2 linked regions of the Elephas maximus indicus genome follow. The protein of the gene in region 2 purifies or fractionates together with the protein of the main gene of each other region. This does not show direct contact. Links are inferred from orthologs where the notes say so. Each region holds a gene or a part of one and is shown on either strand. Other genes may lie near its edges.

The links.
Region 1: the proteins of GNL3 (region 2) and NOP56 purify together in Homo sapiens (affinity purification with mass spectrometry; 4 studies listed by BioGRID and IntAct, with this or other methods). This does not show direct contact. The link is inferred for Elephas maximus indicus from reciprocal best matches to the Homo sapiens genes GNL3 and NOP56.

What each region holds. Positions count from the first base shown.
Region 1 is NC_064843.1:41,254,579-41,262,107, reverse strand, and holds the start of NOP56 (nucleolar protein 56), read right to left. Parts: upstream 3,177-7,529; 5' UTR 3,104-3,176; coding exon 3,101-3,103; intron 2,947-3,100; coding exon 2,857-2,946; intron 2,463-2,856; coding exon 2,348-2,462; intron 1,904-2,347; exon of another isoform or gene 1,836-1,903; intron 1,676-1,835; coding exon 1,514-1,675; intron 1,349-1,513; coding exon 1,150-1,348; intron 1,045-1,149; exon of another isoform or gene 915-1,044; intron 811-914; coding exon 623-810; intron 541-622; coding exon 389-540; intron 223-388; coding exon 122-222; intron 61-121; exon of another isoform or gene 1-60. UniProt on the Homo sapiens protein: Involved in the early to middle stages of 60S ribosomal subunit biogenesis. Required for the biogenesis of box C/D snoRNAs such U3, U8 and U14 snoRNAs. Part of the small subunit (SSU) processome, first precursor of the small eukaryotic ribosomal subunit.
Region 2 is NC_064838.1:56,889,527-56,896,630, reverse strand, and holds the start of GNL3 (guanine nucleotide-binding protein-like 3), read right to left. Parts: upstream 3,029-7,104; 5' UTR 2,932-3,028; coding exon 2,919-2,931; intron 2,317-2,918; coding exon 2,258-2,316; intron 1,641-2,257; coding exon 1,503-1,640; intron 1,387-1,502; coding exon 1,273-1,386; intron 1,040-1,272; coding exon 956-1,039; intron 351-955; exon of another isoform or gene 277-350; intron 200-276; coding exon 67-199; intron 26-66; exon of another isoform or gene 1-25. Other genes in the region: PBRM1 (protein polybromo-1), read left to right, coding at 3,072-3,275. UniProt on the Homo sapiens protein: May be required to maintain the proliferative capacity of stem cells. Stabilizes MDM2 by preventing its ubiquitination, and hence proteasomal degradation.

The sequences.
Region 1 (7,529 bases), on a different chromosome or scaffold from region 2:
ATCACCCCCATAGCAGAGGTCTGTATAGGTCAGGGGCCCTGGTCAGCCATCACTGTGATACCCAAACAAGTAGTGGGCACCAGAAGTGGCACCTGAAGTGGGCAGGTGCCCTCACTGGTACCTGAACAGGGCTTTTTCTGCCCCAAGGATCTGCACTGTGGATGCTGGATACTTGGCCAGGTTGGTGAGGCTGCCAGCATGTGCAATGAGACGTGCACCTACCTGGAGAAAGACACAAAGAAGTCAGAAGCTGAAACTGCTGACCTAAGAATTACATAATCCCTGCTTACCTCCTCCCCATCATGCACAACTAGGGAAGATATGGCAAGTCAGAAAATACAGCAGCGCAGACTTACATGGTAACATTCCCGAGCCCCCCATGACATACCGCTTCCCCAATGAGAGCTGACAAGCTGGGGGCTACTTGGCTCATCTTGGAGCGCAGGTAAGTATGTAAGCTCTGGCGGTATTCTGATAGAGACACCACTCGGCTGGAGAAGCTCTCGATGTTTATCAAGTCGATGGCAGATATGTCCATGCCTAGAGAACACCAAATGTGAATGCAGGAACCAGACATTCAAAGCCCCACACGTTACACCTGGCTGCCAGGCTCTGCACTGACCCATGGAAGACCGTGAGGCATCTAGAATGGCCTTGGCCTTGGCCCCGTCCATAGTCAGTTCCTCCAGCTTCTCCAACTTGTCTTCGTTCAGCTCTTTGCGGTTTCCAATGAATTGGGCAAGGCGGCAGTACGTGGCATTGTCATTGACAATCTTCACCAGCTCCGGAAAGTGATAGCCATACCACTCCCTGCAAGGAGCCACAGTCACTCCCTAGACCAGCTACCACATCTCCCCTTATCTACTACATGTCTGGAAAAAATGGGACCAGTCAGATTTAAAGCCTCCTCAATGCCATGTTGCCCCATTCACAATACAAACCAGGCACAAGGCCTGGGCTGAGGTGTATATGGGGTACTTTATCTGCCTCCCCTTTCTATACAGTCAGTGCAAAAACACAGCCTGTGGTAAGCACAAGGAGGCCAAACCCCTTCCCCACCTGGTTCTTCCCAGACCTGATCTAAGGATTCAAAATTAGCTAAACTACAGGCCAAAGACCCCACTTTCTGGGACTGCCCCTGTACTTTACCTGACACGCATAGAGAAGGTATTGATGTCTTTATCCAGCTGGTCCAGAAGGCTAATGGACTGAATGATCATATTGTCCACCCGGTTCACATTAAACTTAACTTTGGCACGAGAGTAGCTGTGTCCCAGACCAAGCTGAGCTTTACAAGCAGACAGGTCAGTCAGACCCTTCACCAGATTATGGAAGTGCAGGCGAATTCCTGGAGAAGGGTAGGGCTATGAGCATGGAAAGGGCCTGAGCTAGCTCCGCACCCATCAGGCAAGCAAGGCCTCCAGAAGTAATCTTAAGCACCTTCAGGACGCCACCCCCCTCCCCCGCCGGCCAAGTTTGTCAAGAATGGCATAAGTGCCACAGATGTTCTCACCTCGCAGGATCTCAGCTATCACACCTCCAGTCTGGCAGTTGTACCCTAACTCCTCCTGTATAGCAGCACCAATCTTGGGGTCCCCAACTCCCAAGACTACTTTCTTTTTTTTGGATGGCAGGTATGTCTCCAAGAACAGGCGAAGATCCTCATGAACAACACCTCCAGGTAAAAAAACACCGCTTACTAACATGCTTTAGGACATTTAAAGTATAGAAGGGATCCTGTCTTGTTACAGAGCTGATTAAGTGATAGCGGATCTTAAACTGGTTCTGCAGAGCATGCTGGGATGCCATGCCTAGGCACCCTCCCCCTTCAGGCATTGCTCAGAGACATGGAGACATCAGTGACTGCACTCAGGGGATTGACAGACACAAGTCATCACTGCAAAGCCTGGCTCAACTAGGGGAGGAACAGGGCTCAGGTCCAACAGCACCAGTTTGGAATATACAAATAAAGCTTAAAACACAAGCTCCAGCATGATAAAAGCAGCAAGTATCTTATTTGTCTCCTGGGACCACAACTGTTTCAGAACAGTCTTCTTGGCTTACATGTATTCAACTACATGAATGATGCAGCAGGGAACCCTTCAGGTGACTGGGTTTAGGCAAGCTTCGGGCACAAATGGGCTTTAAACCGGGGTCCCCCACCCACCCAAGATTTCATTTAAGAATTATTTACCACCCCAATGCTCGTAAGAAAACAAAATCTCGATTCTAGAGATAGCTTTAAATATGACAGCATTTCGTTTTTTTTTATCACAAATCCCCCAAGAGAACTGCAGCAGGAATCACATATCCTATCTCCCCTAAAACTTCGGGGTGGCCAATTCACCTTCGGACACGGCGTTGGCATTTTCCAAGGCAACGTGGGAGGAGGCGAAGGGACAAAAGGCCACGAGACGAACGATGTTGTGGAACTTGCCCAGATTGAGCACGCACTCCTCCACCTGGGGTGGGAGAAACAGGATGAGCGGTTTCCTTCCGACACTCTTTGACTATTTTGACTCTAAACCGCAGTGAAGCCGAGGTTCTCAGGCTTGGACACATCCAAGAACCACCTAGAAAGCTTTTAAAACACAGGGATGCCTGGGCTCCATCTCTCAAGGTTCTGCTTTAGTCCGTAATGGAAAAGAAATGGCTTATCTAAAAAAGCTCCTAAAGTTATTCTTGTCATGAACCAAGGCGAGGACCCTGGCTCTACAGCTCTCCAGGCCCGTTCCCCACCCCCACTCCACACAGCCGACCACGTGGGAACGCGCGGTGCATGCTGGGGCCTGCGCTGGGGACTCGCCCGACCGCGCTGCAGCCCCTCCGGCTGCCGAACTCACCGGTTCCACTCACCTGCGGCAGCAGCAAGCTGATCTCCTCCACCTCCTTTACCGCCAACAGCGCGTAGCCGACCGCGTGCTCAAACAGCACGTGCAGCAGCACCTGGAACGGAAGCCGGGGCTCGAGCATCAGCGCGGGCCCAGCGTTCGCCGGGCCCCCGATCCCAAGGCAGACACCGGCTGGGCCTAGGTCCGCGCCAAAGCCTGGGCCCAGGCCACGGCCTTCGCCTCGCCCGCAACCCACAACCAGCCCTCACCATGGCGCTCGCTCCTTGCCCGGCTCGCAATGCGGCGAGCGGGCTCCAGCGCGCGGAACCTGGCCCCGGAGGCCACGCCCTCGCCGAGTCAGCCAATCAGAGGCCGAGGACGGCACCATTTCGGGTCCTCCGGAGGGGTGCATCTGGGATGGTATCGCCTAGAGGGCGAGGGCGGCGTGTGGGGAGAGTGGCGCCAAGGGGTAGCCGGCCTTTTCCGGCCTTGCTGCAGCGGGCTGGTGCGGTTGCCGGGGCTGAGCGGGGTGAGGCCGGGCGCTGCAGGCCGCAAAAGCGCTTTTTTCTGGATAACAGTCCAGGTTCTTCATGTTTTGATCATATAAGTTACAGGCAGCAGAGCTCTGTGAAATAGGTGTGGGCTGCACTGCATGGGGCGTGGCGACCATCCCTACAGAAACGGTGGCGGAGCCCGCTCTGGGCTCCACGGGTGGTCTTGGATCCCATACCCCTCCTTCCACGTCCCGCAGGGCTCTCCGTACCCGCCTGCCCTTCAGGGGCGACTCTCCCTCCCCCAGCCCGCCCCCCAAGCCCCGCAGGCCGCGCACCTTTTCCTCCTTCCCGGGACTGGAACCGGGTTTGGGGCCAGCCGGCGTAGACCCTGCAAGAAACGTGCCTCTTGGGGTTTTTTTTTTTTTTTATGTTTAAAAAGCAATTGTAAACTTATTATTGTTGCTTTTAATGAGGGTGGCAGTAAAGTAGAAAAGACCATACCACTTGTTGCTGGGACGGTTTCCTGCTCCCCAGCTCCTTTTGCAGAGCCACGTGTTGCTCGCCCGCGTGGACGGTCCTAGATTCTTCACATCCGAGTGAGGCGAGCTGCTTTCCCGTACTCCAGGGAGGCTTTTGGGCACGCAGAAGTCTGTTTTGAAATTACTCTGGCTTTAATAGTTAATTTTAGAGTTATAAATCGTCCCGTAAGTAGCAAGTTTCCTGGTGAATTTAAATAATAATTTCAAGGGAACTTAATAATTTGAAGTTCCCACAATTAGACTGCATTTATAAATATAAGACATTTATTTTCTTCTTAAGCGATTAAGTTACTTGACAAACAGAACCCATGAAACTTAAAAATATGGGCAGTGATTTTTAAAACTTCATAATCTCAATATTGCTTTTGAAATGTTTGCATTCTGTGTGTTTACCAATTTATCACGAGTCTGAATTAGTTTATTTCACATTTTAGAATGGAGTTGCAAAAATGGATTATTACATAATCCGGTATGTTAAATTCTCTTAAGCCGTATAAAAAAAATGTATAAAATAGATACTTAAAATAGCAAATTAAATAGATGATTCCAAAATGTAGTGGAGAATATTAATGCAGTGACTTTAATTTAGTGTATTACTTCTATACTTCATCCAAAATCTTCCTGGAGTTTCAGGTGTTTCTTTACTGGGGCTGAGATTTTCAAACCAGAAGTCAGAGTCCATTAATGGATTGCAGAATTAATTTACTCAGTCATGGCCAGCATTAAAAAAAAAAAAAAAAAAGATTAAAGAGAATAGAGTAAGGGATAGTGATTTGGAAAACTTTTGTCTCAGCAGTCATACAAATGTATATATGTGTATATGTATGTATGTGTATACACTTACATACATACAAAGGAGTCCCTGGGTGGTGCAAAGTTTTCAAATATACCCAGAGTGCCTCGGAAGAAAGGCCTGGTGATCTGCTTTTGAAAGATCACAGTAAGTTCTACTCTGAAACACCTGGGGTTGCCATGACAACTGGTATATTCTGGTACATATACATATATATATATATGCACACATTTCTGTGTATTAGGTCAGGATATAAAAAACTAGAGAGTCACCCACTGGGCTCAAAGTTAATTAGTCATATTTGGGTTAGATTCACATCCTCTTGCTGTGAAGTAGCTGTGCTGAAATAGTTTGCTGATGACTGTAGAAAAGTGCACTTCAACTAGTATGTTACGAATGCTAACAATTAAATGTGATTATGGCCTAAATGCCACAAATATTCCTTTGGCTTCCTCTCTCCCATTGCCCTCCCCCGTGCTTCCTAACCCTGCCCCAGATGGCGTCTCCACACCCTGTGACGTTACAGACCACCTGTCCCCTCCCCGCAGACTGCTCACTGAGCCCACCGCTCCTTGCCTGCTTCAGGTCTTCACCACCAAAGTGTACTTTCGCAAAACCTTTGGTTTCCCCTTCTCCTAGCCGTCTTCCTCTCCATTGCCAGAATGATCTTTCCAGACAGAACATCCAGTCATGTTGTGTTTGTGAGTGCTCACAGTGGCAGGAAGAAATGGAAATGTTAAGGGCCTTGGTATCATGGAATCACCTATGGTAGCTAGTTTCCAAAGAAGGCCGCTAGTGGTCTGTGCCTCCTCGTATCATGGCCTTGTTAGTCCCCTGCTCTTCCGCACGTTTGACTGGGCTGGTTCTGTGACTTACCCTAAGTGTTCTAAACCAAGCTTTAACCAGAATATGATTCTCTGCCAGCTCTAGGCTTCAGCCTTTTGCATTATTGAGAGCCTTGAGTTGCTTTGGAAGTTCAGCTACTCTGCTGGAGAGACCACATGGAGAGGGGCAGAGGTCTACCTTTCCCAGTGTCCAAGCTGAGCCCATCCTTACAGCCATCTAATATACGTTAAAGTACAAGACCTGCAAGTGAAGCCATTTGGGATGTTCCAGTCCCTCCTGCCATCTATCTGACTGCAGCCCCATGTTGTTGTTGTTGTTAGGTGCTGTTGAGTTGGTTCCAGCTCTTAGCAACCCTACGCACAACAGAGCAAAACACTGCCCAGTCCTGCATTGTCTTCACAGTCGTTGCTATGCTTGAGCCCATTGTTGCAGCCACTGTGTCAATCCATCTTGTTGAGAGTCTTCCTCTTTTTCACTGACCCTCTAACAAGCATGATGTGCTTCTCCAGGGACTGATACCTTCTGATAACATGTCCAAAGTGCATGATACGTAGCCTTGCCATCCCTTCTAAGAAGCATTCTGGTTGTACTTCTTCCAAGACAGATCTGTTTGTTCTTTTTGCAGTCCATGGTATATTCAATATTCTTCACCAACACCACAATTTAAAAGTGTCAATTCTTCTGTCTTCCTTATTCATTGTCCAGCTTTCCATGCATATGAGGTGATTGAAAACACCATGGCTTGGGTCAGGCACACTTTAGTCCTCAAGGCGACATCTTTGCTTTTCAATACTTTAAAGAGGTCTTTTGCAGCCAGTTTGCCCAATGCAATGCGTCTTTTGATTTCTTGACCACTGCTTCCATGGCTGTTGATTGTGGATCCAAGTAAAATGAAATCCTTGGCAACTTCAAACTTTTCTCCATTTGACATGATGTTACTTTATTTGTCCAGTTGTGAAGATTTTTGTTTTCTTTATGTTGAGGTGTAATCCATACTGTAGGCTGTAGTCTTTCATCTTCATCAGTAAGTGCTTCAAGTCCTCTTCTCTTTCAGCAGGCAAGGTTGTCATCTGCATATTGCAGGTGGCTAATGAGTCTCTAATCCTGATGCCATGTTCTTCATATAACCTGGTTTCTCAGATTATTTGCTCAGCATACAGATTGAAAAGGTATGATGAAAGGGCACAACCCTGACGCACACCTCTCCTGATTTTAAACCACTCAGTATCCTCTTGTTCTGTTGGAATGACTACCTCTTGGTCTATGCACGGGTTCTGCATGAGCACAATTAAGTGCTCTGGAATTCCCATTCTTCGCAATGTCATCCATAATTTGTTATGATCCACACAGTTGAATGCCTTTGCATAGTCAATAAAATACAGGTAAGCATCTTTCTGGTATTGTCTGCTTTCAGCCAAGATCCATCTGACATCAGCAGTGATAACCCTCGTTCCACATCCTCTTCTGAATCTCACTGGAATTTCTGGCAGTTCCCTATTAAGGTACTGCTGCATTTTTGAATTATCTTCAGCAAAATTTTATTTGCATGTGATATTAATGGTATCGTTTGATAATTTCCACATTCTGTTGGATCACCTTTCTTTGAAATGGGTACAAATATGGATCTCTTCCAGTTCGTTGGCCAGGTAGCTGTCTTCCAAATTTCTTGGCATAGATGAGTCGGCACCTTCAGCGCTCCATCTGTTTGTTGAAACATCTAAATTGGTATTCCATCAATTCCTGGAGCCTTGTTTTATGCCAGTGTTTTCAGTGCAGCTTGGACTTCTTCCTTCAGTACCATTGATTCTTGATCATATGCTACCTCCTGAAATGGTGGAATGTCAACCAATTCTTTTTGGTACAGTGACTGTGTATTCCTTCCATCTTCTTATGATGCTTCCTGTGTCATTCATTATTTTGGCCATAGAATCCTTCAGTATTTCAACTCGAGGCTTGAATTTTTTTCTTCAGTTCTTTCAGCTTGAGAAATGCCAAGTGTGTTCTTCCTTTTTGGTTTTCTAACTCC
Region 2 (7,104 bases):
TGTTCACATATTTTCCTCATACCTCGCCAGTGCACACGCAAGACAAAGGGCATTCGTTTCACTCACCTGATTTATTTAACACAAGTACTAGTCTTTTCTGTCCACCTTGGACAATGGCCTCTTCTACCTGGGGACACCTGCAACCAAGCGGGTCTCTGGCATCCAACACCTCTAGCACAACATCTGAGGCCTCAATCACCTGTCAAGGCAGAAACACATCACTTCTCCTGCTCCAGGAACACCCTTAACAGAAACGTGTTGGCATTATCCACTTTGTAGCATGGTGAGCTCAGAGTTGGATCTCATGTCTTCACTTGGGTATGAAGAATGTTTATATGTCATCATTTCTCACACAAGAAAATACATAGGCTTGCTCAGGGTCCTCATCGAAATGAATTTCAAAAGTGGAAAATACTCCTAACTGAATGTACAATCTTCCCATAGTGAATGATGTAGTCTGATAAGCCCTAGAAGTGTTGAGGAGCATAGTCACCAGGGTCTGTCCACCTATGGGGGGGCGGGGGGCTGTGGTTAGGGATGGGAGTGCTGAGGAGCTACTACACCTAAAAGACACTTCTGACTTCAGTTGACTTCCTTCACTTGGGTTTCAGCAAAGCACTTTCAAGAGTCTTATTTTCACACTATTTTTGTGTACTTTCTTCAATCTTTAAACTGCTGTGTCAACACATTAACGTGAAACACTATTTTTATAAACTATATTTATGGTGAACTGCTCCCCATGCACCTGTGCAAAAATTTATAACCAAGGAAGAATATTTCCTTTAACTAAACCTAACAGGAAAGGCCCTAAATGGGATAAGCCAGCCTGAAGGATTCTTCAGCTCAAGGGAGCTCTACTTCCACTTTTACAAGGTTGATGCCAGGGTTAGGAAAGAGGAGCGACTAGTCTCTTAAACTCATTACTGTTTTTAGACACAGACCTAAACTAAAATACCTTTTTAAGTTCCTGACAATATGATTTCTTTGGACTCTGTTTGCCCAACTTGGCTTTGTTCTTTGCTTTGCCTTGCCCAAGTTCCTAAAAAATAAAGACAAGGGGGAAAAGACATCAAATTAGAAGTACAGCAGTTGTAACCTGTGTTTGCATTTCCCATGGCTGGTAATAGGCCCTGCATTTGATAGTATAGGTAGGTATGCCAGAATCTGAACTCACCCCCGCTCCCCGCCATGAGGCATAGCACCCCCACCCCATGTACGTGCTTTTGCTTCTCCATCAGAACGCTACCTCTCGCTCACAAGACCTGGTCATACCTCCTTTACAGGTTCCCCACTAGATGGCTCAACAGCAGGCTGAGTTTCAAGTTTTCTTTTCTTTTCCTGTTCCTTCTGTCTGTCAAGTTTCTGCTGCTGTTTTAGTTCTTCAAGCTGTGTCCAATTCATAAGAGAAATGGGTGAGGCAAAGTGACTTGGTGTTGTTACCTTACTTTGAAAAAAGTACATATACCCACACTATTTCTTCAAAGCTTCAATAAACACCTTACCCGCTGTTTTCTTAGCTCAGCTTCCCGAAGAAGAGCCTCCTTAAAGGGAGCACTGTTTGGAACTCCTGGATCTTTCCTAGGCTTCTTGCGACCCCGTTTTTTGGCTTCCTTTCTCAATTTTCGATGGTGCTCCCGTACCTATTATATTGAATATATAGAGTTTACAAAAATACTTTCCCGCTCAAACAAAATTCATGTGAGAAACCCATCTAGCTACAGTTTAGTGACCCCTATAAAATGACATAGAAAAAGGGAGCTTTAATTAGAATCATACAAAATGCATATATAAACCCATTATGTCAAGTCGAAAGCGACTCTACAGGACAGAACGCAACTGCCCACAGGGCTTCCGAGGCTGTTGACAGAAGCAGACGGCCACATCTCTCTGCCGAAAAGGTGCTGGTGCCTTTGAGCTGTGGATCTTTTGCGTTTGACCACTGCACCACCAGAGATCGTTAGAACATGCATACCAAAGTATAAAGGGGCAGCAAGAGGAGTGGGGGGGGGGGCACTGACAAAAAGCCACCACCAGGCTCTATTTCTCCACCTCTTTACAAAGATTATTGAAAGGTGAAGTTTACAGACTTGATTACCCAATAAATGCATCTTTCTACAGCCCTGCTCCTGCTGCCTAAGAGCTTATTCTCCAACCCCCATCTCCTAAGTCTCAATCATGTTAACCCAGACTTCCCGCCGAGATGAGAGATCCGCAGAAAGCAGTTCAATGATATAGCTCCCCCAAGCACAATACCCACCTTTTTTTGGATTTTATACCGCTTATGGCAGGTCATGCGTTTACTTGCTTTCTTCAACTCTATAAAGAAACATCGCAAAAGGGTTGAAAACCAATGATTTGTCTGCATAGTTTTTTTGGTAACTGCGCTATAGGTCTAACTCTTCTTGTGCTAAGACCCACGTGGGGTCCTTAAGAAAAGCATATATCATTCAAATAATTTGATGCAATAGGTATGGACTGGGGCCCAAGTTCCCCGTTAATGTCTTCCCAAGTTAGACTGGGATCTCACACCAGAGCAGGAGACTCAAAATAGCCATTTCGCATCAAACACCACCTATCACAAGGCAGGAGGGCAGCGATACGTTTGGAGGGTGGCTCTCAGCTCTCCCACAGGGCCGCTCTGCACGTGGCCGCGGATGCGAAAAAGCTGGACCTAAAAGTTGGCTCAGACAGTATTGCCTCACGAGACTTTCGCCCTCGGAGCCAGCCTGCCTTCTGCACCAGGAGCCCGCGGATCCGCAGTATCGACGTGAGGCCTTCCAACCCTCGGTTCTACGCAGGTCCCGGCCTACCCGTACGCCACCGCAGACCAAGCCGCTGCAGAAGAGCGCCCAGGCAGCTTCAGAGACCACCAGAGACAGGAATTACTCCAACCCCGCCCGCCCTCCGCCTCCACTCACTCGGCCGCTTCATACTGGCGGCGGGGACGACAATGGCAGCAGCGACAACAACCTCTCTCCGCCGCCGCCACGTGCGAACTGAGGCCTGGCCCAAACGTCACGTATTCACGCTGCCGCCGTAAAGCGCGCCGCCGCCGCCCCGCGTGCGCGCGCATGCACTGTCGCGCAGAGCCGGGCTCGCTTGGCGACCGCGGAGCTGGCTTTGCGGCGGCACCGGGAGGGGTGAGGGCGGCGAGGGCGGCGGGTGCTGGAGCGACGGCAGCGGCCGCGGCCGGAGGAGCAATAGCAGCAGCCGTGGCGGCCACGGGGCGGGGCGCGGCGGTCGGCGGCCGGGGCTGCAGGCGGCGGAGCGGCGGGGTAAGGCCGGGCTCGGGTCGGGCGGGGCCGCTTCCCCTCGGCCGGCTGCCGGGCCTTTGTGTGGGCCCGGGCGGGCGGGAGCAGCGGCGGAGGCCCCGCCCCGGCCGTGGGGACGCGCCGGTCGGGCCGGGCGCGCGGGGCGGGGCGCGGCGGGGCTTGGGGACCGGCCCCGCGGCTTGGCCGCACCTGCCGGCCGGGACAAAGGCGCGCCGCGGCCCGGGTACTGCCCGCGCCCTTCTTTCCCGCCCCGGGGCTGGCCGAGCGCTGGCCGCGGGATAGCTCCAAGCTGTCAACGTTTCCCTAGTCCCTCGTACCAGTGACAGGTCGGCAAAGTCCCCATTTCCTCCGCCGGCCAGGCCCGCTTTTTTTTTTTTTTTGGATGATTCGGACACTAACGCTCAATGATTTTGTTTGTTTGTTTTCACACGCTTTCCAGATGACCGTGTTCAGACCGAGTGTTTTTGTCAATGGGATTTGTATTTATAGTAGAGGCCAGATAATTGTCTCGTCTGCAATATCACAAAAAATCGGGCTTTTGGAACTGTGTACATTCCAGGCTTTTAATATTTTTCCATCTCTTAAAATGTTCTACTGAAAGAGAAGGGTAATTTTGTTACTATGTGGACTATGTTTGTGATTTAAAAGGAGAGAAAGGGTGGCAGAAATACAGAAGGAATCCTGAAAAGCAAATCACAGATACACAGTATTGTATTTACAAGTTCTTATTGTAGTTATAGAAACAGGCGTTGGCGTAAAACTTTAACTTATTTTCCGACAAACTAGGGCTTCTCAAAAATTATTTTAGGTAATTTTTTCCACTTACTGGTGCACTTTTCCACAAATATAATTCAGAAGCAAATACGATTCACTACAAATTTAAGAGTAGTGTTATTTTTGCCTTATTACTTGTTAACAGATTGCAGGTATTTTAAGATCCAAAACCGAAGATTGGAAAGTTTTTTTTCAAGAAGGTATTTCGGATTAAAACAGTAACAAATACGTGTTGTGGATGGATGGAAGGGGCTTAGCCACTTTGGCTTTGGGAGTTACAAAATACTTCAAATGTTCATAATTTACCAAAATCCCCAAGGTTAGTAAATTGTGGTATATCTGTTTGATAGATTGTTGTCAAACCATCAAACATCCTGGAGAAGAATGTTGACTTGGAAGAATTTTCTCTAAGTTAAAGCACAGGCAGCAAAATAATATGTACAGTTTATCACTTTTGTTTAAAAAAATTACATAACGGCCAACAAAGGCATAGAATAAAACAAAAAGCTCTGAACACCAACGTTAAGGATGATTTACTCTGGGAAGTAGGATTATGGGTGGTTTTTTGTTTCCTTTGAGCTTTTTGTTTTAAGTTTGTATCTACGTGCTGAGTAGCACTAGAAATACAGGAGAGTACCAAGAAGTTTATAGATTGTCAAAATACACCGTTTGCCTGTACTGAGTAAGTAGTCTCCCAGTTTGTACTTTGTAAAGTTATTCCTGTTTACTGTCCACTGTAAATTAATCGTTGGTTGTCAGGTTTGTGGAATTAAAGCCATCTTAAAACTTGGAATTGAGCTCCAGAATCTCTTTCTTTCCTCTTCATGGAAAAAGAATTGGTTATGGAATGCTCACAGGCCTTTTAAACTGCCAAAGTAAACTTTTTTTTTCCAAGGTCCCTCTTAAGGGCACTTGTAATAAAAAAGATAAATTGAGCACCAAATACTATTCTGTAGGCCGGGGCCACAAAAAAGAATATGACAGTTTCTGTGCCAAGGCACCATGCAATCTTAGAGTTGAAACTTAACATTTTTGTTGTGTTTTGAACATACATAGTATCATTTCCCTGTCACAGTAATCCAAGGAAGAACTGCATGCCTTACTGTTCTCATTTTAGAGGTGAGGAAACAGACCTGAGAGGTTGTGACCCAGCCAACGTCAAACATAATTTGAGGCGGAAGACCTTCAGCTCCAATCCAGGTCTTCTGAGTGCAGGTCCTGTTGCTCCTCCCACCTCACCCCACTGCCTTTCTTGTCAAACTCTCAAAATACATTTTAAAATGTGATCTTTGGGTAAGAAAATATTTGGAACTTATTCTTAAGTTGCGTCTTTTTCTTGTTTTATTAAATAAATTAATGATTGGAGGATTTTTGATTCTTGCATGATATGTATTCACACACTCCAGTCATTTATGTTTTTTGGTTTTCACTGGACTATTTATAGAATTTTGAACTTCTGCCAAAATGGTTGAAGGCATTTTTTGTTTAACCTTGGTAAAACCGTAGATGGTGTCTCTCAAATGCTGATAGGACTTGTAGAAAGAAATGTTGCCATATTTTGAATTTTTGAGGGGGAAGGAGTTTTCCAGACCCTTTGCTCACATGGAGCATTCTCAGTTTGTTCCAGCTTGCCAAAACTCTGTGTCACATGCAAGTCTCTGATACGTGTTCACAGTCCATTGCGGCTCTGTGATTGAACTCTGCTCTTCTTGACTAGGGAGCAGTTAGGAAGGCACACTTCAGTCGGGACTTGACAGTTGTTCCGTGTGAGCGAAGGGGCATGCGACCGACCGCTTGTTCCATGGGAGGCACCTTTAGTAGATGAAAAGCATTTGGCTTAAAATAGAAGAGAGGGCAGGTACTGTTAGAGCCTAAGCCTTTGCAGCAGTTTAGTAGGTGCGAGAGAACCGATACACCTGTTTTCTCCAGCTCAGTTCTCTTTCTCTAGCAGTTCTATTTGAATGTTTTCTATCTACTCGTACTCATTTTTACTCCTTCTGACCCTTCCTTTGTATTTCCCCTTTCTCTGCCTTGTTCTTCTCTTTCAGTTTTGAATATACTAACATTGAATCAGCACTTCTAAAGCCCTGCCTTCTCCCACTGGCTGCACTTGGCCTTCAGACATAATGAGGAGACTGGCTTTTCGAGGCGCTGGTTGTGCTCTGGTAAAGCTGGTAAATCACTGATCATCTACACTCTCTCCCTTTTCTGTTCTCCTTGCCTTTCAACTTCCACCTTTAATTTTTGTTATCCTTTCCATAAAAATTCCCTCCTCGTGTTCATCACATTCCACCTGTGCCCTTGTTAACAAAGGGCTGGTTTTTAGTTTCGTTGTCTTAATGAGTTGAAAAGCCAGTTCGCCAGCCTTTATAAAACAAACACAAATCAATAAAACTTGGCTGCCCTTGGTCTAAGTCCTCTGAAGATTTTAGTCAGTTTTAGCAAACTGAAAACTACTATGCTGTGTAACAAACCAAAGCCGAGAAGATGGCAGCATCATCAGGGTAGATTATTTTTAAACACCCTGTGAACTTGAATTCCGAGGAGGAGATAGGAGTCTCCTCTTGTTTCTTAGTTGCTTAGCAAAATTTTTGCATGTTTTGCACCTGCTTTCAGCTCCCAGGAGATCCCCACCTCAAAGTTAGATCCCCCACCTCTTCTGCCCATACTGCTGGCAACCAGTGCTCTACTGTTCCCATTCTTTTGGCTGCTGGTGTCTTAGGGAAGTTGAATGTCAATTGGATCTGAGTTTTTTCTCTTTGCTTTAGAAAAAGATCCTTGAAATCACAATATACTGTTAGGTCCTGTTGTTAAATTATAAACACTGTGGGACTTTTCTTGGGTATATAAGCATACCCTTCCCCTCTGTCTGTAGCAGATGATTTGACTTGTGGTTGCATTTCTTGTGTCATAGCCAAATGCATACACTTGTAAAGTTGCCTTAAGGCTAGTTACTCAGCAGCCAGCCCCAAAGTGAGAGCACAGAGAAATTGTAATAAAAACTAAAAAGTACCCATAGTTAGAATGAAAAAAAAAAAACAAACCCAGTGCAGCTTAG